2 linked regions of the Arabidopsis thaliana genome follow. The protein of the gene in region 2 interacts with the protein of the main gene of each other region in a pairwise test. Each region holds a gene or a part of one and is shown on either strand. Other genes may lie near its edges.

Region 1 (4,976 bases), about 14 Mb from region 2:
GTATTTACAACAACAATAAATAGAGTCATCATAAATAGATGAAGGAGACTTTTTAATTAGAGAGAAAGCCTAGAAAGAGCTAGTGGGTATAATTCGCCCGGAGATAAGATGTTTCATGTTCATGTTATATTCCGTTAAGCCTCTTCTTACATCAAATCTTATCCTTGACGCTGACAGTGTTCCACATCAAACCTCTTTTCTTGCAAATATCATTTATATAAATATGTCAATTTTAAATGTTTTTAATAGTTTTCCTTTATTATTTAATTTTAAAATTTGAACTACAAAAAAAATAAAAGGAAAACACTATAATACATTTATCTACATGGTATACACTATATTTCATATTCATAATTTTTACTAATAATGTTTTTTAAATACTTAAGAAGTCTAACATTAACCATTAAAATCACTCAATGATTAACTGAATTTAGGTCTATATTCTTGCTGGAGGTACATATGCGGATCAATAGACTCGACATATTTGGAAATAATATACTCTATAATGCAAGTATGTGATATCAATTAAGAGAGCAAGTCCATAAAATTTGAAAGAAATACAAAAGTGACTATCATAATATATCTAAGTAATAATAATAATAAAAACCGAAATTAATGTCATTAAGAGAGACGTACCATACGTTTAAAATATTTTGGTTTTCCACATCAAATATTTTCTTAAAATTATAGTTTTCTCATCACCAAGCGATCGACGAAGATGAACACCACCAAAACCCTAAAATCTCAAGACGGATCAACAGTACGGCGACCATCATCTCCAGCGGCGGCTCTCGGCTGCTGAAACTGAGTGATCTGTCCAATGGCAAGAATCCCACCGTCGTAGTTGTTACCGGCCGGAACATCCAAGCCACCAAACATTTGTTCTCTAGGAAAAAACTGGTGGTGGTGATAGTGGTCTCTCACGGCGGTGGCTGTTCCATCTGCTGCTCCGGCGAGTAAGTTGATGCCAAGACTCTGATGAGTGGCGGCGAGGATACCGAGGCTTTGGTACTTAGAGAGCTCAGATTTAGCACAGCTGAGATCTATCTGAAGCTGACGAAGCTGATGTTGGAGGAGAGAGATGACGCCGACGCAGCCGTAGACAGGGTCACGGAGGCGCATGTCGGCTTCATAGGCCAAAGAGTTCACTGCGTCTTCACGTTGTGAAGGGTGAAGCTCGTTGAGGAGCTTTGTCACGTTACTTGCTCCAAACACTTTGTGAACGTTTGCGAATTTTTGTGGCTGGTCCGGTGGGAAATAGGGCGCGAATACACATTCCGGTTGACATTTTCGCCGGAGGAATTTGCAAGCGGCGCATGGTGAGTTTGTTGAAGAAGATGCCATTTTAATGACTTGAAAATGGAGTTTTTCAATTTTTTCTCTTTTCCCTCTCCCTACACAAAGCCGCCATTGAAAATTGAGAGAAATAAGGGTTTTTGAATTTAGTTTTTGGAGGTAGAAGGTATAAGGAAACAAAAAAAGATATTATGAAATCAATTGTGATTTTGGAGATATTACATTATCTGTTTTTGTAATCAAATATGAAATTAAGTGAGAAAATAAAGAAAGAAATAATGTAGAGAAGTTGCTCAATCTTTATTGTTGTCAATTAAAAAAAAAAAAAAGTTGTTCAATCTCTATAGAATAAGAAAGCTTTTACCTGCGAGTAAATTAAAGAAGCCTTTCTTTGAATAATGGCTTCTGTTGCTCAGAGGGGAAATAAAAGAAGATCCTCTCTGCTTTCTTTAAGCTGCTATTTGGGGTTGCATACAAAAAGCTGTAAAATAAGAGAAACTTTGCAATTAGTAGTATTAAAGATATTTGGTGAGCTATATATGCACATACACTACACACACACATAAGTGTATATGTATACTTATATATACTGATCCAACCTTCTTGTCAACTGTTGAAAGCAAATAGAGGAAAAAATGAGTAACATGAAGGTGCTTTTCGAAAGTCAAACATAAAGGTATGCATCCAAATATATAATATATGCTTGGGAGATAAAAGATCATTTCAGACCTAGAGATATGTGTAGCTATATGATATAGAGGAACTTGTAGCTATATGATTGCTAGTCAAATTTTGGTAACTAGACCTAAGAGTCTAGAGACAACCTGAGAGATTTAAAATCATTATAAAAACAAATTAAAAAGAGATGGAAATTTGTACCGTGTAGTTGGAATGCGTATGGATGGATTAACGAAATATAGGGAACAAAACAGATGGGATCAATGGTGTTCTTTGTGTTGCTTATAGGTAGGTATGAGAGAGGGAAGAAGAAGAGAGAAGAGAAGGAAGAAGATGTAATTAATTACTAAAAAGCAAAAGATTGGATCTCGTGAAGAAGAAGAGACTTTTGGGTTTTGAGGCTCTCGATGGGCAAAGCTCATCTTGTGCTTAAATTTCCTATTATATTAGTATTTTATAAGAAAATGAGCTAATAAATATGATAAGACTAGTACTAATTAATGTTATTTATTTTTAATATATATACTTAACTAAATAAATAACTATAGAGTATACCTTCAATAGTAATAGGATTTGGTACTAGAGGGAATTGATTTCCATGTGAAGAAGTTGCGAGTTTCTAAGGAGAAGAAGGGATATTGGGATGAACCCTTGGACCCTAGCATAGACTCTAACAACAATAATAACAATAAATGTATAGTTATTAGTATTAAATTTCAAAATAAAAAAGTATCTAGAAAGAAAAAAAAGGAAATAAATGTGAAAAGGAGAGATGGGAAATGAGAGATGGGGTCTGACTCTGACTCTCCTGATGGATCTTGGGATGAAGAATTTTGCTCTTTTTATTCTTATTCTTTTTGTCTAGGGATTTACATACAGTAACCAAGCATTTTGTTATTACTATTATTATACTCTCTACTAGTAATTCGCATTAATATTATATGATACGGTTTGACAAAAGCTAAAATATAAATACAGTCGAAAAGTTGATAATGAAGTTACCGTCCTCAAAGTTTCTTCGGTCAAACCCATTTTTTCATGTTTCTTTATACCAAAATCCATAAGAATCTACTGCCACTTTCTTTCTTCTCTTCTCTCTCTTTCTCTAATTACAATATATAATATTATATTAGGATCATGCAAGTGTCTTTATTTTTGACTCGCTAGTTTTACGCAAAGTAAGAAAGAAAAAAAATAGAAAAGAAAATAAGTGAAAGAAAAGAGGAAGGCATAGAAAGATGATGAGTTTAGGATCAGTACTCCCTAAGGTGTAGGGAGATAGAAAGAGAAAATCGCCCAGATGCAGAGGCTAAGGAAACGGAGAGAAAGAACAACTTTTATGGTGTGTCGATATATAGAGATAGAGAGAGAGTGAGTGATCACGGACTCTGTCTTTCTTCTCTATATATATCTTCATACTTTCCTCTACGGGAAAATTAGGAGATATACCATGAAACTTGTTTATATAATGATACCTACTTTGTTTTTGGAGTTTAAAAGATAACCCATGATTAGTAACCCTATGAGATTAATGTTACTGGGACATTAGTAATTTTTAAGATGAGGTTATAGTATTTTTTGTTTATGCATTTTTAGTTTGAATTTCCAAATGTGAAGGGAATAGAAAAACATTAATGGAAGTTTTGTATCGAACTGTTGAGAAAGGGGTTAGAGACAGTGGCACCGTTTCTTAGATGCTTTAGGTTTTTAGACATTTTGGTGTTAATAATTGAAGTTACATTCTCAAGACACAAGACTTTGTATATAGTTCTGCATTTTGTTGTATATCTTAAAAATCCTCGAAAATGTTATTATCAGAAATGGATACTTGTTTTTAGTTGGTTTCATAAAGTGTGCCATTTTTGTATAACAACAATACAACCATAATTCAAGTTCATTTTTACTAGTAACTACAGTACTTTTTTTTATGAATCTGAAACCTCAACCAACAGAGCCAAATTCAACCAATACAACAACTACAATAAATGTGTACATTTACCTTATGTACTAGCAGAAATATTCTAAAACTTTGGGTTAAGCGATTGTCAAGGTTTTAAACTCTCTTTTTTCACTACTAGTTCTCCTTTCTTGGTAACAAATGTCAAGTTAAGCAAATTTAAACACTCGATTAAGTAATCAGAACCGAAATTTAGTTGGTCTCTACGATTAGGTCATCACTTTTTACGTACGACCTAACCTAACGAAGAAGCGTGCAAAGAGAAAAAAGAATGGTTATCATGATCATATAACATTTAAAACATTAGTCAATTTGGAGAGAGAACAAGAATGGGAAATGAATAGAAGCAAGTGGGTCGTGGTTGCATATTGCATTGTTGTAATTACTGTTGGAGCAGAGTCTGCAACACTATTTACTCGTACCCATTTTCAAACGACAACCATTCCTTTTATTTATATATTTATTCATTACTTTTGAAATAAAACTATTCATGTCTTCATGTTCTTTGTCTTCTTCCTTCGTTTATAACAATGGGTCCAAAAATCATAGAATTCACACCATATGGATGGTTACACTCCTTCTCTCCAATTAATATTCATAATAAGTATGTTTGGCTGATATCGTTTTCATATTTTTCCATTATTATATATACATTGCGTCTTCTTCTAAAACTAGTTTGGATTTAAATTACAATGTTTTCCACATTTCGGGCCCTACTTACAAGCTTTTTAGTATATAAGTAATAAGTTTACGATTAAGTAAAATCATCTCCAATTTTGAAAATGTTACCTGAACAATCAAGTATAGAAAGTAAGACTAAAATAGTAAAACCAAATACTTCTAAGAATTGTTACACTAGAATAGTTACACTATAACAGTTAATGGAGCTATCCACTTTTGACTAGTCTTGCGGATATATAAACATCTTTATTCAGATAACTCATGGTGACATAAAAAGATTAAAAAAGTTTATTTGATAAACTAAGTATTTGAAACAAAACATTATTTTAACACTTTTAACAGAATTCTAACTTATAACTGACTA
Region 2 (5,515 bases):
TCATAGACATTTTGCAGATGGTGGGAGCAAACAAATCCACATATGTTGGAGAATGAAGGAAAGAGAACAGAGAGTTCACAAATGTCCTGAAGCCAAAAACCGCAAATCTCTCGACTTTTTTTGAGACATACTGCTTCGCCAGTCATGAGGCCTGCGTCGAATGAATCTGCAGGCATGGAGGATGCCGAAGGGAGGTTCTCTGAAACCGAAGAAGAACGCCATTGTACATACACTCTTGTAAAAGAAGTCTGCGAGTGAGGAAGAACATGTGTGTGATCTGTGTTAAAAAGAGGCACATATGAAGGATGTGAATCGTCGTAACACGTAAGGGATTATGTTACAAAAGAGTCTGTAATAATATGTATAAGCTTTATTTCGACACTTTGATGTTCTGTTCTTGATACTTGGATACTCTGTTCTTGAAGCTAACTACTTTAGACATTGATCTTCCTTTTTATCCCCTCTCTAATTTGATATATGCTCTTGTATTACTCATACTGCCCCAATTGTAACATAGAAGCTTAAAAATGCTACATAACATGCAGCCAACAGAATGAGGATGACCTGAAAACATTGGTCCGAGTTTCGGACAAAGTTTATGACAATGAACATGAACACATATAGAGACATATATATGATTCATTACATAACACATGTTTCTCATCAAACAAAAACAATTCCTCGCGGTCTGAACATACAATCAACCTGGCTTATGATTGCAATGGAGGATTCATATACATGCTCAGGGCTGCACAAACATCGTCTTCCCACAAATTACACTTCCACTCCTGCATATATTCCAAGAAACATTTTCATATATCAACCATATATCTTGATGAAAGTATGAGCCACGACCAAGTTGTTCAAACCCATTATCAAGAAATCGAAGTGTGGAAGTAATGTATAACAACCACTGGAGTTTAATCATCTTCCTTCACACAATAATACATTATGAACTATAAAAACTCATTTAGCCTTACAATTCCTCATTACTAGAAACAAATCCAACCTTTACAAATCAGTGCTATGTTGATACCAAAGTCTATATTATTGTTATTAAAGAAGTTCCTGTAGTTTAGTGCCCATAGTATCAAACCAAAAAGTAAGAAATTTAAGAAATGAATCAATCAACCAAGCTCCACTTAGTTTATGTATCAAAACAACATCAATTCAGATTTCAGGTAAAAGAAAACATATGAATCACTCAAAATGTGATGTGAAAGAGATCTAAAAATGTGAGTGCTCCGAATTAAAGGGAAAGAGCTCATGACAACAATGAAGAGATGGGATAATTAGAGTCCGACACATAGCATGTGGTGCCACTTCAGGAGGACAATGTTTTAAAACAATTTTGCCAGGCAAAAAACACTCAACTTCCCATCTTTTTCTCTTAAATAAAATATTTATCTATTAAGGACAAAACTTTCTTCATAGCAAAGTCTTTTGTCAAATGTTGATTCTTTGATGCCAATTATTAAATATTAACTAACTTCTTTCTTATCCAAAACAGTTCATCACCTCATTACATTTTCCATATTAAAATAAATTGCTATAAAGATTTCCTAAACCAAGAACTTGCAATACTAATATATATATATAACTAATTCAATGGAGTCAAAAGGTTTAGGTGAATTACTGTATCATGTGAATGAATAAATACATCAAAATGGGACACAAATTTAATGAAATGACCTACCCTTAGAGAAAATAAGTAAATGATCACAAATTGGAACAAGGTGATGCTGAGGAAGAAGGAAACCCAACATAGAACACATGAGGAGACAAAAACAGACGATGAAGCCCTCTTTTCAAATTCATCCACATGTCATTGATTATATAATCCTAAAGTCATTATTACTTCGAGACACACAAAAATGTAATGAAATTATGAAACCAACAAAATATGACTCACTGCCACGCCCCAATAAACCATCTTTCTTTTGTGAAATCAAGAAACCAAAATTTATAACAAATCAAACAACATGGTACTATCACTACATTTAACTAATCCATAAACCATTTTTCTAAAAACTGAAGAATTGAGATACTAAAAAGATAGAAAAAGACTAACCAAGATTGGCGAGAGATGAAAGGAAGCATTTTGTTTTTACTATCTCCTTTCCTTTGCCTTGTCATCAGAGCTCCGGTTTCCTTCGCCGTAATAAAGATATAGCCGACCATCAAAAGTCTCCGGAAGCTGGTGGTTATGGTGGTCAAGAGGTGGAGGTGTAGCCATGAAAAAGGAAATGCTTTGACTATCCATTGGAGAAGAGGAAGAAGAAGACGAAGAAATCGATGACCTTTGAGTAATGTTGTTGTTGTTATTCAGAAAGAGAGATTGTGAATTGGACTGAAGGGTCCCCCTACTACTGTAACCACCATTAATGGCAGAAGAAGAAGAAGAGATTCCAAAGTTGTAATCAGGTACAAAGGAGAATGGGTGATTCATTGGCTCTTGAGAGGAAGAGTTTGGTATTTGCAGCTGAACCGGGTTAAAGCAATCAGAACCACCGGTCCAATTCCGGTTACTCGGTTGTTGGTCAAAACCACCAGTGAGAAGCTGAGTGAATGAGCTATGAGCATTCTGCAAATCTTTATCTCTGTCTTTAGCTGTTCTTTCTCTAGCTCTCTCTCTTGCTTTCCCACGAATCTCTGTTCTTGATAACGACAACAGCGAACTCTCAGATGTTCCACTACTACAAGCAGATTTGGTCTGATTCTGATTCTGATCAAGATGATCAAAATTTGTGTTAAGCAAAGGAAGATCAGTGATTGAATCAGAAGCTGCATTGATTAACCATTCAACAGCTTTACTTGGCTGATCAAATCCAAGACGATCTTGAAGATCATAGAACTGGATTGCTGTAGCAACTGAGAGACGTATTCTTCGATCTCTTAAACCTTTTGATGTTAACACTTTGCTATGTCTATCTTTGCCACCAGAAGCTCGTGAAACCCTAATGATACGAGACGATGGATTGTTCCAATTCCTCATTAGTCCAGTGTTGTCCTCTGAGAATCTTTGTAGCTTTCTGCTTTGTTGTTCTTGATGTTTTTGTAACTCAATGTCTTCGTCAACCTCCATTGTAACGCTACTCTCATACTTTATCAGAGCTATGATAATTAAGTAAAAAGCCTGAGTATGTTGCAGTGATAAACTTTTGAATCTGCAAAAATTAAAGTAAGAAGAAATTAAAGTCACTGCTCAAAGGCTAAAAATAATAAAAATTTGTAGATCTGCCAAATCTATTCATGTTCATAGACCTATAGCTTAAGAGCCTTTTTCAGAAACCCTAAATTAATTATATAAAACCTATGAAACCTATAGGAATTTATTAAAGATTATGAGCTTTGGTGAAAATAATAAATACCCAGAAATTAAAGGAGAGATTTTTAAGTGAAGAAGATGAACAAGACTAATGATTTTGTTCTTGCTAGAAGCTTTGCCCTAAATTACATGGCAGTTTGCAAAATAAGAATCTTGATACATTAAATAAAGCAGAGATTTTAAAATATAAATAAAGGGTTTGCCTCAAAAATCACCAACAAGCTAAGAGAAAACTCACTTTGGATTACAGGTGTCAACTGTCTAAGCTCAGTGTAGAACAACAATGGCGGCGATAAGTGAAAAACAAATTTAATTTTCTTCAGATTCTTGTCATGAGCTTCTTATCTCTTCCTTCTCATGCTTAGATCTCGTCATTATAAGCATTAGAGAAGTGTTAAGATCCACAGATCTGCAATAATAGTTATATCAAAATAGTCACACAAATATAAGTTATAACATAAAAAAAACATTCGTTTTTGAGTAGTGTTTTAGGACGTTTAGATAAAGAGTATTTTCCCAGGAAAATCAGCCGAGAAAGTGAAAGAAAATTAGCAGAAAATGGGAAATGGGGAGAGAGGCTAGAGATATGAGTTTTATTACCTGTTAGAGAAAAATATCAAACAGTTGCCTTCGGACAAGGGAAGACAAGTGCACTGTTTGGACTATTTTGTACTTTCCTTGTTCTGTTCTTTTCTCTCTCTTTTACCCTTCTTTCTTTCTCCTTTTTCAATTCTGCCACTAAACTATTAGAATATCAATATTTGCCCTTTTATTTTCTTTTTCGATCAATTTGCCCTCTATTAATCGAATTATACTGAAGTATAATGTATGTTTTAATCATATAAATAAGGTTCATGACACTACATCTGATAAGACAATATAACTAGGAATAAGCATACATCCTTGATGCAAATATAGCCTATATTGTTTTAATTTACATTTTCAAGAAACATCTAACTTACATAATGTTTCATGCTATGGTGAAGAAAAGACACTCTCGAGGTGACAAAGTGGACACATGGGCTTCAAAGGCAGAAGCTTCACTTCTTGCATGCGATAAAATATATGGGGTTCTTGGCCAAATTCAGTAACCTTAATCATACAATGAATATTGGTCATGACACAAATTGTATAACTTCTTTGTTGGGCATATGCGGGAGTCCGATTTAGTCAGTACACTATGAGTTAACCGTGGCAAAAGATGCACGCTTTTACTCGGCCTACGCCAACCATGATATTTTTGTTTGCTTAGATATGGTTGAGGTTTTAGTACAAAACTTAACCGAAATAGGAAAAAAGAAACATCATGAATTAAAACATGTTGCCATCATGGGTAATGACCTATTTGGATTTAATGTAAGATAGGCCAAACATATGACTCTCAAATAAAAGTAAAGTAATTAAGAATATTAATTTTTTCTTTTGTAACAAACAAGCTTTGAGCTTTAGAACCACTTTTTGATTGTATTTTCAAAGCCTAAACAATTTAATTTCTTCCACGTAAAGACTCAAATTTGGGGAAAAATACTCAACCTTCCTTCCAAGGAAATCTTTGAAACTAAGTGAACTATCAATACTTGGTATGTAAAGTAAGAACATGATTCTAGTAAGAGTAATTATTAAATAATTTTTGAAAACTAAATAATGTTTCACAATAAGACCTGGACGATTATCCCTAACCTCGGTAGCTCAGTAAGCAAATTATTGTCAACTTGGGAACTTCTTTACACTTCCGACCAATAACGACTTTCTAATTAAGACTATTTTCTTGATAGGGAAACAATGTCAAAATTCGTTTTTGTATACTGTATAAAGCAAAGTTTAACAAATTTATAGATCTAATGTTATGTATTAGTTGTAGAAAGATAAAAATAGTAACAAAAATATTAAAATAGTACATGTCAAAGAAAATTATATACAAATTTACATGGGTTTTGTAAATTGAGTTCCATCCAGATGCAGTGAGTGAAAATAAAGCAAATATTTGCAAATAGCATACTAGTATGTCGTCACTCGTACGTCAGTCATCACATAATGTTTCAACCCATATATTATTCCAAAATATGAATCATCTTACGTACTTTTTTTTCTCCGACTCATGTTATAGTATATCAAAAAAGTTTAACTCATCTCACACGATATGTCGATACAAACCCACTTTGGGCTAACCAAATACATTCCATTTTT

The links. The genes of interacting proteins can lie anywhere in the genome.
Region 1: the proteins of TCP24 (region 2) and AS2 interact in a two-hybrid assay, tested with the Arabidopsis thaliana proteins (one study listed by BioGRID).

What each region holds. Positions count from the first base shown.
Region 1 is NC_003070.9:24,396,514-24,401,489, reverse strand, and holds AS2 (Lateral organ boundaries (LOB) domain family protein), read right to left. Parts: upstream 3,348-4,976; 5' UTR 2,977-3,347; exon of another isoform or gene 2,176-2,976; intron 2,173-2,175; exon of another isoform or gene 1,778-2,172; 5' UTR 1,661-1,777; intron 1,395-1,660; 5' UTR 1,345-1,394; coding exon 745-1,344; 3' UTR 504-744; downstream 1-503. UniProt on the Arabidopsis thaliana protein: Negative regulator of cell proliferation in the adaxial side of leaves. Regulates the formation of a symmetric lamina and the establishment of venation.
Region 2 is NC_003070.9:10,626,644-10,632,158, forward strand, and holds TCP24 (TEOSINTE BRANCHED 1, cycloidea, and PCF family 24), read right to left. Parts: upstream 3,988-5,515; 5' UTR 3,929-3,987; intron 3,924-3,928; exon of another isoform or gene 3,738-3,923; 5' UTR 3,567-3,737; intron 3,168-3,566; 5' UTR 3,086-3,167; coding exon 2,111-3,085; 3' UTR 2,072-2,110; intron 789-2,071; 3' UTR 542-788; downstream 1-541. UniProt on the Arabidopsis thaliana protein: Plays a pivotal role in the control of morphogenesis of shoot organs by negatively regulating the expression of boundary-specific genes such as CUC genes, probably through the induction of miRNA (e.g. miR164).